Linked DNA regions of Saccharomyces cerevisiae S288C. Changing the gene in region 1 together with any one later gene gives a genetic interaction. Each region holds a gene or a part of one and is shown on either strand. Other genes may lie near its edges. The genes, in order: BNA1, TNA1, POX1 and PNC1.

Region 1 (3,482 bases):
GTGGATACATTGTGAGCCCTGGCTGTTTTCGATTTCGAATTATTTGTTTTTTGAGGATTCCGAGCTATAACTTTGGGTTTGGTTGTATTCGTATAGCTGCGAGAATCATTCTTCTCATCACTCAGATTTCTCCTGTAATTAGGTTTGCTGTTTCTCGATCCCTGTTGTTCTTCATAAATAGCATGGATATCTAAGAACAGTTCAGCGACTGTCATATTTAGATGTCGATGACGTGTGTAGCGTAAAAATTTATATTCGCCAGATAGACCTCTCATAATTAATTGGCATGCGACCTTGTTATTGATATGAATGCCATTATTGTTCAGTCTGTCGATAATGTTTGTGACTTTTGTTTCAAATGCATCTGCAGGTGTACTGCCATTATATTGCAAATTTGCCAGGGTCACAATGTCGTTTGCCTCTTGGGTATCAGATTGCATTTTTTCAATACTTTTGGAAAGAATTTTCATGATATCCGTATAATCAACGGATAGGATGTCTTTGACCCAGGTAGGTAGGAATTGAGAGGGAGCAAATATTTGAAAAGTGTTATACAAGAAGGTGAGTTCATCATCAGTGATCTGACGTACGGGTTTTCCGTTTACTGTCGGAATAATACCACCGAGATTCGAGTTTTGTAAAAATTTGATGTATGTTTTAACCCAATTTGGAAAGTCATTAGGTGAGGTTAACATTGGTGGTGGTCTGACATATTTTTTAGTGGATGTCATATCAGAGTCCGCTGAGGATGAATCAGTAAATGTATTACCTGACTCAGGTGATGGAGTGCTCAGAGGCGTTCCAACTGATGATGGATACTGCGGAAACTGTGATTGTGGCCCAGGTGGAAAGTACATAGGCGACATTTGATAAGGTGTATACGGAATCATAGATGGGTGTCCGTAAAATGACCAACCAGATGGATTGGCTTGGTTTTGGGTCATCATGCACTGCTGTGGGTACGGCCCATTCTGTGGAGGTGGTACTGAAGCAGGTTGAGGAGAGGCATGATGGGGGTTCTCTGGAACAGCTGATGAAGCAGGTGTTGTTGTCTGTTGAGAGTTAGCCTTAGTGGAAGCCTTCTCACATTCTTCTGTTTTGGAAGCTGAAACGTCTAACGGATCTTGATTTGTGTGGACTTCCTTAGAAGTAACCGAAGCACAGGCGCTACCATGAGAAATATGTGAATGTTGAGATAATTGTTGGGATTCCATTGTTGATAAAGGCTATAATATTAGGTATACAGAATATACTAGAAGTTCTCCTCGAGGATATAGGAATCCTCAAAATGGAATCTATATTTCTACATACTAATATTACGATTATTCCTCATTCCGTTTTATATGTTTATATTCATTGATCCTATTACATTATCAATCCTTGCGTTTCAGCTTCCTCTAACTTCGATGACAGCTTCTCATAACTTATGTCATCATCTTAACACCGTATATGATAATATATTGATAATATAACTATTAGTTGATAGACGATAGTGGATTTTTATTCCAACAGCAACATGTTAAAACGAAAGCTGATGTTTGGAAGCCGTCTCGAGTAGGCTATACCGACATATTTTCCCAGGAATATAAAGGAATTGTTGTTGCGATAAAGTTTGTGATCTGTTCTGATGCTGAAGGAACCTTGTACCCGAGAGAGTATAACTCCCGTCTCCATGATGTAAAAAGACTTGGGAGAACAGGACTGTCATTCACAGATAAAAAGGAGGCGTATTTACTCGAATTTAAAAACCAGGACGTTGTAGATCATGTTCATAAGTTAATCTTGCCTTTTAACACATCTTGGCAATCTAACTAGATTCGTCCAATTGTATTTTTACTTCAATAATCTTACATAATAATAAAAATTTTTCTATTTGTCCAAAAAAAAAAAAAATAAATAAAATAAAAAAAGCTACCGTAATTCATGCGTACAGTAACTGGCTTCCTTACTATACCAAGTTTATTCTTTGATTGCGCTGCCAAAATAGCCTGTCAAAATTTGCGCGGATGTATTTTCGACGTCAACGGTGCCATTATTTTTCTGTCACTGACACCTGTACTCCTGAACGGGTATCGGCATTTAGAACGCTGCCTCCAAATGTCTGGTGAACGTTCGTGAATATTCAGAGTGTCGTTATTGCAATGGAATGGCTGCCTTTGTGACGGCGTCAGGATAAATTGTGAGTCACTGAAACATATTCGGCAAAGTAAAAAAACGGACGTAAAAGATTCTTTCTTTATTCTTTTCACGACAGTCTACAAGTAACTGAAATAGCATACATTTACCAAAAAAATCGAAAAAAATGTTTAATACTACACCAATTAATATCGACAAATGGTTGAAGGAGAACGAAGGCCTTTTGAAACCACCGGTGAATAATTATTGCTTACATAAAGGGGGATTCACTGTGATGATTGTCGGTGGGCCTAATGAAAGAACCGGTTATCACATCAATCCAACTCCCGAATGGTTCTATCAAAAAAAAGGATCTATGCTTTTAAAGGTTGTGGATGAGACAGACGCTGAACCAAAGTTCATTGATATCATCATCAATGAAGGCGATTCATATTTATTGCCAGGAAATGTTCCTCACAGTCCTGTTCGGTTTGCTGATACTGTGGGTATTGTTGTGGAACAAGATAGGCCTGGGGGAGAAAACGATAAGATAAGGTGGTACTGTTCTCATTGTCGCCAAGTGGTCCACGAGAGTGAACTGCAAATGTTAGACTTAGGTACCCAAGTGAAAGAAGCCATTTTAGATTTTGAAAATGATGTCGAAAAGAGGACATGTTTCCATTGCAAGACGTTAAACTACGCACGCCCTCAATCTAATTAAGTATTAGAAGAGTTGTTAGTTGTACTTTTATAGCTCTCTTGTTACGTAAGATTGCGGCACTAAGATGCGGTGCCAATTTTTTTTTTTTTTCTCTTGATCAAAGCAGCTAGCTGTTCATCAAGATATGTAACGTTTTTAAGCACTGAACTAACAAGGGGAGCCAGTGAACGACTATGTCTTCACAAGATGTTCTGATACATTCAGATGATCCGTGCCATCCAGCAAATCTCATTTGCACGCTATGCAAGCAGTTTTTTCATAATAATTGGTGCACCGGAACTGGAGGTGGGATTTCAATAAAAGATCCTAACACGAATTATTATTATCTCGCCCCATCTGGGGTGCAGAAGGAGAAGATGATACCTGAGGATTTGTTTGTCATGGACGCTCAGACATTAGAGTATTTGCGCTCTCCCAAGCTTTACAAGCCAAGCGCATGTACTCCATTGTTCTTAGCGTGCTACCAAAAGAAAAATGCAGGTGCTATAATACATACACACTCCCAAAATGCTGTGATATGCTCCTTGCTATTTGGCGATGAGTTCAGGATTGCTAACATCGAACAAATCAAAGCAATTCCAAGCGGAAAGGTGGACCCTGTGACCAAGAAACCCATGGCGCTATCGTTTTTTGATACGCTGAAGAT
Region 2 (4,657 bases), on another chromosome or scaffold:
TTCAAGAATCTCTCAAATGTACAATGCGGTCCTTTACTTGGCAAAATATGATGACGAATTTGATATTAGGGATAGAGCCAGGATGATTTCATCCTTGTTTGATTCAGGGAAATATGAAATTGTGTCACTACTATTACAAGCACCTAAACCTACGGCAAGAAGTGACGATTTTATCGTTTCTGCAAGATTGGAAACACATACCCCAGAAATAAAAGAATTTTTTAGAATGCTTCCTTGGAATACTGAAATTACTGAGGTTGGCGAGACAGGTAACGATATTAGAGAAGGCGCAGAATTGAAAGACTATAACAAATACAAAAAAAGTTTTTCATCGCAGTCTTTTATTACCAACAACTCAGCAAGATCTTTCACATCTAGCTCCAACGCAAAATTGACTGGGATCAATGACGGCGATAGCAATAGCATCTCAGGTAAAGGTAACGTAAACACCTTCACATCTCAAAACGGGAAGAAATATCGTTTGCAAAGCCTGGACGAGTTTTTTTCCGACATTCCAGAAAGGAAGAGTAAACCAAGGAAAATTATAAAGGTGGTGGAAGAAAGCAGTGACGAGGATGAAGACGAATCGGAAGAGAGCAGTGACGATGATGAGTATAGTGACTCTTCTTTGGGAACGTCTTCTTCGGGAACGTCTTCTTCGCATCTGGAGCTTTAGAACTCGGAGATAATACTATATAAATATGTATATTTATAGATATAGATATAGGCATGTATATCTTCCCAGTAATATACGTGTTTGGGACGAAAACAAAAGAGAAGTTGGTAAACAAAGTTTCATGTGAATTTGCTTAGTACAAAAATACATACAAATATAAAAGAAAAGTTACAAATTGCAAACACACTCATAACGAGGGGCAAAAAAAGTGGAGGGTGAAGAAAGTCAAGCCTAATACATGTACTTAAACTCAGGGTTTTTGTCGCTTAACCTTTCGTCGTATGGAATAGGCTCTCCCAATTCATTACAGCGATCTATTATTGCTTTCTTTTTATCGTTTTCCCTCTTGTATAGGAAAATTTGCACAACCGTCATAAATATGGAGAAGACTTGAAAGGCCAGACTAATCGACAGCCCTTTGATATATCTTGGCTTGTCTTTGGCAACAAAAATTTGACCAGAGACCAACCCTGAACCAGACCCGAAAAATAGATTAATTCCTAAAGCGGTGGCTCTCTTGAAGTAATTACCAGTGTTACCACTTAACCATAAACAGTTACAGGCAGCATTAACGTAAATACCCATACAAAGAATGTAAACGCCAAAATATCTCACACCATGAACTTGAGAACCAAGGACGATAGCTATGCCTATCGAAGTCGTCAGACAAGCACCCAGGATGAATGGAGATCTCAACTTTATACGATCAGACCAAACGGCACAAATGAAGAACACAATTGCTGTAAGGAAATAGATGGGCACGGTCATTAATTGAGCTCTGACATTAGTGAACCCCATACTGGTAATGATGATCGGCAAGAAGACTGTTAGACCAAAAGTAGTCAAATCGATACCGAATAATGCCACAGCACTAGCCCAAGTCTTGACATCCTTAACTGCTTGCCACACTTGGAACCATTCAAATTTTTCGTCCGGGTCAAAAGTGTTCATAGTCTTGTATCTTTCGGAAATGTACTCTTTTTCCTCCTTATTGAAAAACCACGAATCCTCCAAATTTTTGCTCAACCCGAAGGCATAGAATGGTACGAACCCCAAAGAGATACAACCTTCGACAATGTAAATGTATTGCCAGTCCTTTAGAGAACCGCTGATTTTGGAACAACCATAAGCAATCAGCCCACCAAAAGATGAAGACAAACAGGCTGCACTGAAGACAAAAGCGAACCTCAGAGCATATTGTTCTCTTCTATAGCAGACTGAAAGGTACATGTTAATAGCGGGATAAATCATACCTTCAAAGGCACCCAGTAGTAGTCTGACAACGATCAATTGAGCATAATTCTTAACCCAAGCAGTTCCGAGCGAAATAGCACCGAAACAGGTCAAACAGATACTCATCATTAATGGCGGACCCATAATTTTCAGAAGGTTAGTACCTATGGGGTCGAAAAGAACATACGTCGCGAAAAAAACTGTGACACATGTGTTATATTGCGTTCCTACAAGGTGGATATCCTTGGATAGACCTGCAACTTCTGCGTTACCAATATTCGATTTATCCAGGTTAGAAAGGAAATATAGCATCCCCATAAGAGGAATCAAGTATATATCCATTTTGCGCAAGACACGCTTTTCCATTGGATGGGAAGGGGAGGGGATGCCGTCATCATCCGTGGTAGTAGCCATAATTTCCCGTTCGGTGGCAAGTTCCGACTTCTTGTCATGGCTGCGATTATGCAAGCTAGCGTCATGGCCTTCATCTTCCTGGAACGTGACTTCCGTAGGCTTTTCTTCTGATCCATCATTGGTGGGTGATATGAAAAGCACATCATCCACCAAATGCTTAGGTGACTCCATTGTAAATTTGTTGCTCATCTAGAGGTAATGACAATAGTTCAATGCTCGAAAGTGAAGAAATATTTCTTTTTTTTTTTATATAAGCCTTCTGCGCAGTCGTTTTTTTTTCAGTCGCTGTCTCACGGGGGAAAATAGTTTGAAAAAGGCGAAGAGGGGGAAAACTGTGATGTGAATACGACTTCTAAGACAGTAAATATGGACGTATGCTTATAGCTTGGAGAGTTAGTTAATATAGAGAAATATAAATAGTAGATAAGAAGTACATATGAAACAAAAAAAAAATGGCAATAAAATAACAAAAGGATCTCGAGTAGGAACATACTTCAAAGAAAGGAAAACTCATGGTTTATATATTATCCAGAATTTTTAACGTAATCGGAGATGCGACAGATATTTCAGGGTGTATGGATGAGGTCAAAACAATACTAATCACACACGCCGCGAAGCCTTCGACGGTTCGTAACCTGTCCTCATGTGTGACGCATAGGATTCTACGGTAGATCCCGAGTATGCCCGGCTGTGATTGGTAACTATGATTGCGAGTAATAAGCGATCCGGCGTCCGGTGGTATTTTCTATTTTGTTGGTGCGACCGCTTCTTCGCAGAGAATGGGTGACTTGTAAAAGGAGAGAGACACTGGAAAAACCAACAGAATACGAGCAGGAAACTAGAAAATAAAAAACTAAAAAAAAAAAAAAACAAAAAGGAAAGGAAAAATTAGTAGAAGCCGGCGACGATTGCAGAATCCAGAGGGATACCGCTGTAACAGAGAATACGGGCACCCAGACAAGTGACTGGCGCCAGACTTTGTTATTTCACCTGGACCCGAATAATAATATTAAATAGTGATAATAATAATAACATATAGCATAAATAATAATGTACAAAATAATAATAATAAATAAATAAATGGTTCACCATGGACTGTACAGGCGTTCCGGAACGCACATAGTGACAGTACAAGACCTGGTTGTGTGCCATAATGGCCGGCATGTGAAATCGCGGCTTCTGTATATGTACATATCTGTTCTTTTACCATGTCGTCCATTTTCCGTTCACTTTAGCCAACACGGCGACGTTGTGCGGAATTGATTTGAAGTCGATTTTTTCTATGGAGTATTCCCAAACTGCCCCCAAATTTTGCAAATTAGTGCGCGGGGTGAATGGGTGCGTCAGAGCATTTACTGACACCTGGCGGCATAAGCAGCGACGTATCGTGTCCAAGGCAGGCCATAGCAAGAGCGTTTGTGATTGATTTTCAAGGCGCAGATACCATTGGAACACAGTAGCGCAGAAGGTACTCCTCAAAAGAGACAGAGAGAGAAATCAGAGTCAGGGAGCTTAGTAGCTGCTGTTACCAATATTATACAATAAGTAAGGTTTGCATATGCGGAAACTTCGCACTTGAATTTTTTTTTTTTTCTTTTTTGGTAGCTTTTTGATGTTTCCAGAGGATGTGAGTCAATGAGTGGTGTGACCCCAATACCACATTTTGTTGCTGTTTTTTTTTTTTCATTGTTAATTATCACTATTTTTTTTTCTTTCTAGTATAACCCATTCGAACCTCCGTGGAGGCATTAAAAGGGAGAGTGAAAAAAAAAAAAAGAAAAGAAAAAGAAAAGATGCCGCCACATATAGAGACCTTAAAGGGATTGAAAAACTGTACGTAAATCATTGAAGGTTCTACACGTCATCCATGAAGAAAAGCATTTTCGGGAGAACGCCAAACTTCAGACATGGGTGTGCATTCATTTTGGGATATTGCAGGTCCTACGGCAAGACCGGTCAGGCTGGAATCCTTGGAAGATAAGAGAATGGCAGTAGATGCCTCCATTTGGATATATCAGTTTTTGAAAGCTGTCCGTGATCAGGAGGGGAATGCAGTGAAGAATTCTCATATTACTGGGTTCTTTAGAAGAATTTGTAAGCTATTATACTTTGGCATTAGGCCGGTATTCGTCTTTGATGGTGGTGTGCCCGTATTGAAAAGGGAAACAATACGGCAGAGGAAAGAAAGAAGACAGGGAAAACGAGAGAGTGCGAAATCCACCGCTAGGAAGCTGCTGGCTTTACAATTGCAAAACGGCTCAAACGATAACGTAAAAAACTCTACACCGAGTAGTGGCAGTAGTGTGCAGATCTTCAAACCTCAGGACGAGTGGG
Region 3 (5,091 bases), on another chromosome or scaffold:
TTCTAGTATATCTACATACCTAATATTATTGTGTTGATAATTAGAGGTTAAAAATTAGTATTAATGAAGAAGTGAGTACTGATCTTCTTATACTAAATAAGAGAGGTATATAAAACACACGCCGATTGGTCATATTAATCATGACCAATATAATAGTGATTCCGGTAGTTACTATACATTGATGTGACGACTCATATTCCTCATATATGTACCTACCATATCATGTTCAGCTAATAGGTCTTTAACACAGCTTCAGTATTGTCTGAGCTTCTCGTTTAACATTCCTTCTGCAATAGGCGCAATCACACTTAAACGTATACGATGTGTACATTAATATACGATGTAAGCATTAGATTGTTACCATAGCAACTCATGTCACTATTAATTACTCTCGTTCCAACATATTGCCTTATTAAAAATGGAATCCCAACAATTACATCAGAATCCACACAATCATCATGATGTTTTAGAGCTTCATTCCAACAAGTGCCAACACAGCACATTTATTATTTGTTATGTATATAATTCTGAGATATTGAGTAAACACTCAATAATTACCTGCCATCTTAGTATAGTGGTTAGTACACATCGTTGTGGCCGATGAAACCCTGGTTCGATTCTAGGAGATGGCAATTTTTTTACTACTATACATTGGTAAATGTAGTCATGTCATTGATTCGTCATAGTTATGTGAATAGTATTAGATATGTAAATAGATAGAGAGTACCGTTATGCACATAAGATGGCCTCTCACTAGGATTTTGTAACTTTTTGTTAAAACTTGGCGACACTAGTTGAATTGAAACAAAAGTCGCAAAACAGAGGGTTCGAAGGAAAACAGGAAACCTCTACTCACTTGTTTATTTTCGATAAAATTTCCGCATTAGCTGCACCACCTAACTTTTGGTCAAATTCGAAACCTCTACCGAGCATGCTGCTCAACAGCGCATGATAAGAAGGCTTCCCTGCCCCATCTGCCTCCACTGGATTATTGCGGCAAACTTCATTGAAGTAATTGTGATAGATATCGCCATCAAAGTAACCTATAGGAGAATTTAACATCGCGTCAGGTAATTCAAAGGAGTCTGTCAGACCTATACAGTCTTTCCTCACAATTGGCAAAAGAGCCAATAGTTGTGGCTGCACAACTTTAGAGATCTGATCAGGAGTGAAGATCTTGAATTGTTGGAATTCTCCGGAATGCTTGTCAATAAAATACAAGGAAAATAACTTATAAACATTCCACATAGATTCCTTTGTAATTTCATCGGAAATATGTGAATCACGAGAGTTTAACTTGTCGTAATAGGTTTTCAACATGCAGCGCAAGGCATGAAATTTGGATACTAAGACTAAAAGCTTAGAAACGCTATCAATACTTCTTGATTTTTCAACTAAAGTACCAATATGTGCCAGTAATTTGATTAAGGTGATAGACCAAATTTCAGTATAATCACCCAACTCCTTTAAACCACTCTTTATTTCTCCAGAAACCACAGATCCTATGTACTGAGGTTTTAAGTAAGAGAATGAGTCCACATCCAGTGTGTTGTCAAATCTACCCTTTGTGGCTGAATCGATAAATTTTTTCAATATTGATTTTGCTGAAGTTAAAGATAAAACATTATTATCACCCTCCCATGTGCACTGAACCACCCAGTCGTCATAGCCTTTACCAAATCCGTTATACTGTGAATACCCATGTCCTCCGCAAGTCTGTCTCAACTCATCAATCAGTGTAGCAATTAACCAAGTATTGGTGGCTTTCAAGCTGGCGCTATCAATAAATAAATTCTTCAACTTTTTACTCACGGTAACCAGAGCAGCTTTGTATGCAGATGAGGAAGCGTTGTATAACTCGTCCAAAGTGGAATAATAGTTGTCCATTAACTTAAAAGCTACAGGTGACACCAAATATGGAACACACAATTGTGGTAAAACACGATATTGGTGAAGGGGATAGTCGATTAATTGTGTTTCAGACAATCCCTTTCTAGGTGCGAATTGCTGACGACCAACCGCGTAACGTACAGCAATAGTAGCAAATTTGGAGCCAAACCTAAATGAATCCATGACCATGTTAACTCTACCACTTAACAATGCACTATAACCAGAAATTTGATCCAATTGTGGCTCAGTTTTGACGGTGACTGAACCATCTGGAGAACGGACAACTTTGGTAAATCTACTTAGCATAAATTCTCTAGGGATAACTACGTTTCTGAACTGGATCCAGCCATTATCAATACCGTCACGACCCATCTTCGCTCCAATATCCCCTATGGAAACACCAGCTAACAGTTGGAAAGTCGAAGGGTCTCTCAGAGGAACAACGAATGTTTTTACACCGTAGTCTTTACCTTCAACGATCAATCTGGCGTACACGGCAGCGTGCGTGGCAGAATGGGCAGCCCCACCAATCCACCATTTGGTGGCAGTTAGATCAGGTGTATCAATTACAAAAGTATCATTTTGCTTATCGTACACAGCCCTAGTCTGCAGCTGGGCAACATTGGAACCATGTCCTAACTCAGTCATTGCAAAACAGCCATATATACCTTTCATCAAAGTGGCACCTCTCTCCTGCAACCAATACCGGATTTGCTCATCAGTACCATTGCCCTTGATACAATTACCAAATAGCCCCAAGTGTACACCCACGCGCGTACCCAATTGAGGATCAATATTTGCTACAAGTGACAATCTCTTATCGAATATAAAAAGGTCTTTGTTTGTTAAAGGCGAAGCTTTGTCTGGATCATTTGCTTGCAACTCTTTCATCAGGTCAGTGTCGCGAAAGTGTTTGCGCACTGTTTTGATATCGTGCTCCATATAACTAGCAAGCCTAGCTATTTTTTTGGCAGTAATTTCTCTCTCTTGCATTTTTTTAGCATCGTAATAGTCCGTATCAGTTTTCAATATAGGATCATTCACTATTTGGTCTATTAAGGCGTGCGTCAGAGTTCTCCTCTCCGGGGATGACTCTAAAAATGTGTTAACTTGGTCAACTTTGATTTTCGAATCCGCCCTTTCTTTCTGGATAAATTTTTGAGGATTCAGAACCACCGAATCGGGATTAATAGTAGTACGTCTCGTCATATCGCAATACTAATTTATTATATTTTCTTTTTTTCTGTGATACTTATTAGTGTCAAGTGTGTATTCAAAAACGGAGAGCAATATTAGTGATGATGAGCGGAATGAGGAAAACTTTAAGGCCTGTTCAAGTTGTTTAAATAATTTTTACAGGTTAGACCTTTATAAACACTCTTAAAGCCCCAATGTATTAGTGCTTTGACTTAACAACGCCAACGTTCTCTTGTGTACTTGCTTGTAGGTGATTTACCCCAACGGCTATTAGCCGCTAATGACCGAATTCCTTTCGCTTCGGAGTTTAATCAACTAATACCGTAAATATAGGGCTTAAAATGTGTCAGGGTTTGAACGCAAAAAAAGGAGGTTTATAATAAAATATTAGCACATTATAGGTTTTAAAGTTAAAAAATAATAGGGTTAATTTTATTACCCTACCCCCTTTTTTTGGTCGAGATCTCGCATTTTTCGTCGCTAGGAATAAATACAAAGAGAATTAAGAAAAGTAAAAAGTGGAACTGAAGGAATCTACAGAAATAAGGAGATATTTTGATTAGTTGTTCAGAGTAACTTATTGAAACCTCGACAATCCGGATCAGAGTTGAGAGAGAAAGAAGATATTCAACTATAAAAATAAATTATCACGAAAGTTCTAACCAATGAGTGACCTACCCATTGAATTTACCGAATTGGTCGATCTGATGTCCTTAGGAATTTCCCCTCAATTCCTTGACTTCAGATCAACTACTTTCGAGAGTGACCACTTCGTCACTGTTAGAGAAACAAAGGACGGTACAAACTCTGTTGCAATCGTGGATTTGGCCAAAGGCAATGAAGTGACAAGGAAGAATATGGGCGGTGATTCTGCTATCATGCATCCATCTCAGATGGTTATTTCCGTTAGAGCAAATGGTACTATCGTGCAGATATTTAATTTGGAAACTAAGAGCAAGTTAAAGTCTTTTACTTTAGATGAACCTGTTATTTTTTGGAGGTGGTTGAGTGAAACCACTTTGGGTTTTGTTACCGCAAGATCCATACTGACCTCGAACGTCTTTGATGGTAACGTAAATGCTAAGCCTCAATTGCTTACCTTGAGACACGCTAACTTGAACAATACCCAAATTATCAATTTTGTGGCTAACAAAAACCTTGACTGGTTCGCAGTTGTTGGTATCTTACAAGAAAATGGCCGTATTGCCGGTAGAATTCAATTATTCTCAAAACAACGTAACATCTCCCAAGCTATCGACGGTCATGTTGCTATCTTTACGAATATATTACTAGAGGGTAATGGCTCGACCCCGGTACAAGTTTTCGTTACTGGTAACAGAAATGCCACCACCGGTGCTGGAGAATTAAGAATTATCGAGATTGATCACGATGCTTCATTGCCTTCTCAATATCAAAAGGAAACTACCGATATTTTCTTTCCACCAGATGCAACGAATGATTTCCCAATCGCTGTTCAGGTGTCTGAGAAATACGGCATAATTTACCTATTAACCAAGTATGGCTTCATCCATTTGTACGAATTGGAAACCGGTACCAATTTATTCGTTAATAGAATTACAGCAGAATCTGTTTTTACTGCAGCTCCGTACAATCACGAGAACGGTATTGCATGCATCAATAAAAAAGGTCAAGTTTTAGCAGTAGAGATTTCTACTTCTCAAATCGTTCCATATATCTTGAATAAATTATCTAATGTGGCACTGGCCTTAATCGTTGCTACAAGAGGTGGCTTACCAGGTGCAGATGATTTATTTCAAAAACAGTTTGAATCTTTATTGTTACAAAACGATTATCAAAATGCAGCTAAAGTTGCAGCCTCTTCCACTTCTTTAAGGAACCAAAACACCATCAACAGGTTGAAAAACATTCAAGCACCACCAGGCGCCATTTCTCCTATCCTACTTTACTTTTCAACACTATTGGATAAAGGGAAATTGAATAAAGAGGAAACAATTGAATTGGCTAGACCAGTTCTACAACAAG
Region 4 (3,524 bases), on another chromosome or scaffold:
TTAACTGTAATTTGTTTCTTCAAATTTATATCTTGTGAATGAGAAGTCGTAGGGAGAAGAGTTTGCTTGAAATCATCTTTGCTAGGGTAAAACTGAGAAAGCAGCCTTTTGTTTGACAAGTGAAATGTCAACAAAGAATAAATAAGAAGTACGGTTACGACTATTGTTTTTGATTTCCTTGTAGCGATCAGGTGGGACAACTTCCTAGACATGATCTCTTCTTTCTTTTACTTGCTTTCTTTTTCCAAATTGCTATTATTGCTCTTGAAATGAAAACGGAATCAAAGAACTAAAACAACCTATCCCTATTAAATATAAAAGGATGCAGATGGGGAGAGAGAATGTGGATTGGCGAGAAATAATGTCGGTATTCGAAGAAGGCAGAAATACTAAAGTGGCTACCAAGCTACCAAACTACCTTAATGCAGAAGTTTTGACGTTGCTGTCCCTGCAACGTGAAAAGTCCAAAAAGGCGCGTTTAGTTGAGGCCCAGCCAAATCTTTTCGCGGTGGGCCGGCCAAATAGTTTAAGCAATTTACCCAAAAAAGAATAAAGAGAGGCGTAAAGACGTTAGTTAATATTTTATTATTCCTTCTCCATATGTCGGAATTCGGTGTACATACATATATATAGATATTGTTATATAGATTTGTGCATTTGCAAGCCACCCTAGTTCATCAGGTTGAAGAAGTATTATTCAGCTCTTATTTATCCACGACATTGATGTTGTGGGCCTTCAACTCTTCCTTAACCTTATTGATGACTTCGGGATCATCGCTGATGGGTCTTGTGTAATCCAGCAGGACAGTGGTCTTATAACCTAGTTCTGCAGCGGAAATGGCGGTGGCTTTGACACAATACTCCAAAGCTACACCGACAATGTAAACCTCGTCTGTATGATGCTTTTCTAAGTACTTGTTCATGTCGGTCTTATGGAAGTTCCAGATGTCGTGGAAGGCGGAGTAGTATTCACGGTCAGTCAAGAAACCCTTGTCGACAATCTTAATATGCTTAGTGACCACTTGGTCCATTATTTGGTCAACCAATTGACTACCCCAGGTGTTTTTCACACAGTGTACGGGCCACAAAATACCCTCTTGCGTGGAATCATCGCCTGGCCTTGGAGAGTGGTAGGTGTATGTTGAATAGGGTTCTTTATCTTTATGGTTCTTTGCGAACGAAATATGTCTGGAAGGGTGCCAATCTCTGGTGACCACAATCCTGTGCCAGTCTCTATCAGCATCTTGCATCAAATCCGAGATAGGATTGATTAATTCCTCACCTTTTGGAACAGTCAAGGAACCTAAAGGTGAAATAAAATCATTTTGCATATCAACAACAATTAAAGTCTTCATTTTTGTACTGTATTTTATTCTTTCTAACAAAGATATAGATAATCGTAAAAGAAAGTTTTGTTTGAAGGTTTCCTCACCTATTGCATCCAACCAGGTACCAGTTAAGAGTACATTGTATATGAAAATATATATATGAGTAATATATATATATATAGTTTTATTAATAACTATTAGCACATCATAATCGTATCTGGAGACACATACATAGTGGGCCAAACGGAAACCCCTGCCCCTTGAAGAACTTTTTTTTCATAATTCACTTTTCCAGTACGTAACACCACGCGGCGCCCCTTTGTGGGGCCTGCCCCTTTTTTTTTTTCTTTCTTTTTTTTCGGAAACATTCCGCGAGATTTCGGCACGTCCCAAATGATATCGAGCTAACACGTATAAAGCGATAACGTATATAACGACGTATGATTTTAGCAACGGAAGACGTTAACAATGACATATGGATATTTATTTATATATATAATATAAAAATTTCATTACCCTGTGTGCCACCTTGATCCTTGACTTAATATATTTTTTTCTGCTTGGATCTCGGCGGCAGTTTTTTCTGTTTCATATAAGGAGGATCGTAGGGAAAGAGGAAAACAAAAGGCATAATTAACCAATAGCAACAATATAAGCAGTACAGAACCCTCACCACCAGAATGCAGAAGTGTGCTGGCCATGCACCACTGGTGACTGCAGCCTCGCGGGTCTCCCAAGACACCGTAGACGCTCTTTTGCAAGCTATTTTAAAGGCCTACCATAAATTAGCTTCGATCGACAGTCACATTAATGATCCTGTTGAAATAGCCTTCAAGCTCATAAACTCTTTTAAGTATCTGCCAATTTCAGGCTCTTCTGTAAAAGATTTTGAGTCGGAACTGCGGGAGTTAGACGTTTTTTCTCCCCTTTTGCAGTCAGCCGTTACTGCTGCTAATAATAGCAATATCATATGGGACCTTATAGCGGTGTTATTTGCATACATTTCCATCCATAAACAGCTCCATCCTTTGATCCTGCACAATCTGAACATATGGAAGGATTTTATGGCAGATAATGACGAAGAAACGGCGACAACCACGGACGGGGACTCAATGAATTTCGGCGTACTGTCGCTTCTTTCCATTGTTCAAAATTTTGAAGAAATAACGCCAAATCTATTTGAGTTTCTAAAGCTCGGTTTGAGATCCACTTTACTCAAGATATGGGTAGCACAATGGCAAAGATACGATCCTTCGGCAACGAACTTAATCAACGGTGATGAGAAAATTTCTAGCTGGATAACAAAGGATTACCAGGTGGATTTTTTTATCATCACTTCATTAGCATCAACGTCCTCATTAGAAGTTTTGCCATCTCATTATTTTGTGTACAAGATCTCTAAAAGGATCTCTCACTTCCCAAATTTAATTGATCCTAAACTATATCGATCTGCAATTTCTACAATAATGGAAAATGGGATTTCAGACAATGGTGGTGGTGAGAACTCCAGCGACAAAATTGATCCGACTGATTTGTCCTTTCACTTACAAGTTTTAATGGAAGTTATTGACCATCCTGAGTTGAATTATTTGCAGGAAAATCGATTAATTTTGTTGCTCGACATTGCATTAAATTATTTAATCCTGGTTCCTACTCACTGTTTACATTCAAACTTTGGTGAATTGGGCTCTACTCAAAGTTTAGCATCCACTTTAAATATCATTCAGTTCCTTCTATCGAAATTCTTAATCAACATGGGCAGTATTTCGCAATTAATTAATCAATACAACAGGAAATGCATCACTACTAATAACATCAATAATAACAACATTAACAACAATGGCGTTATTAATGGTAGTACTAACACCACTAGTACTACTACTACTACCATCACTAATAACAATAATAATAGCAATAATAGCAGTATTAGTAATAATAACAGAAAAATAGACTGGACGCAATCATATCAAACGAGGTACCAAATTCCATACTGGTTTGAGGACTCAATTTTGCCACCAATTCCGCCTATTTCGAAATCGCTTTTCACTTTTGACAAGAACCTAGACCATGAGTCGGATTCAATTATGATTGTAAATGATGTATTACGCTGTTTGAATTTAACCATTCTTTTAATTTCTAAACTTCTAAGGGATTATGATGACCTGAAGATTAACCCACTAATTCAATCATCAGATG

Evidence for each region.
Region 2: mutations in BNA1 (region 1) and TNA1 together harm fitness more than expected from each alone (negative genetic interaction), as found in Saccharomyces cerevisiae (2 studies listed by BioGRID).
Region 3: mutations in BNA1 (region 1) and POX1 together harm fitness more than expected from each alone (negative genetic interaction), as found in Saccharomyces cerevisiae (2 studies listed by BioGRID).
Region 4: mutations in BNA1 (region 1) and PNC1 are lethal when combined (synthetic lethality), as found in Saccharomyces cerevisiae (one study listed by BioGRID).

What each region holds. Positions count from the first base shown.
Region 1 is NC_001142.9:470,492-473,973, reverse strand, and holds BNA1 (3-hydroxyanthranilate 3,4-dioxygenase), read left to right. Parts: upstream 1-2,302; coding exon 2,303-2,836; downstream 2,837-3,482. Other genes in the region: YJR026W (gag protein), read right to left, coding at 1-1,214; methylthioribulose 1-phosphate dehydratase MDE1, read left to right, coding at 3,010-3,482.
Region 2 is NC_001139.9:1,010,340-1,014,996, reverse strand, and holds TNA1 (Tna1p), read right to left. Parts: upstream 2,513-4,657; coding exon 908-2,512; downstream 1-907. Other genes in the region: APL6 (AP-3 complex subunit beta), read left to right, coding at 1-676; ssDNA endodeoxyribonuclease RAD2, read left to right, coding at 4,231-4,657. UniProt on the Saccharomyces cerevisiae protein: Involved in the uptake of nicotinic acid.
Region 3 is NC_001139.9:106,166-111,256, reverse strand, and holds POX1 (acyl-CoA oxidase), read right to left. Parts: upstream 3,100-5,091; coding exon 853-3,099; downstream 1-852. Other genes in the region: CHC1 (clathrin heavy chain), read left to right, coding at 3,753-5,091.
Region 4 is NC_001139.9:426,593-430,116, forward strand, and holds PNC1 (nicotinamidase), read right to left. Parts: upstream 1,356-3,524; coding exon 705-1,355; downstream 1-704. Other genes in the region: OCH1 (initiation-specific alpha-1,6-mannosyltransferase), read right to left, coding at 1-212; VIR1 (Vir1p), read left to right, coding at 2,009-3,524. UniProt on the Saccharomyces cerevisiae protein: Catalyzes the deamidation of nicotinamide, an early step in the NAD(+) salvage pathway. Positively regulates SIR2-mediated silencing and longevity by preventing the accumulation of intracellular nicotinamide, an inhibitor of SIR2, during times of stress.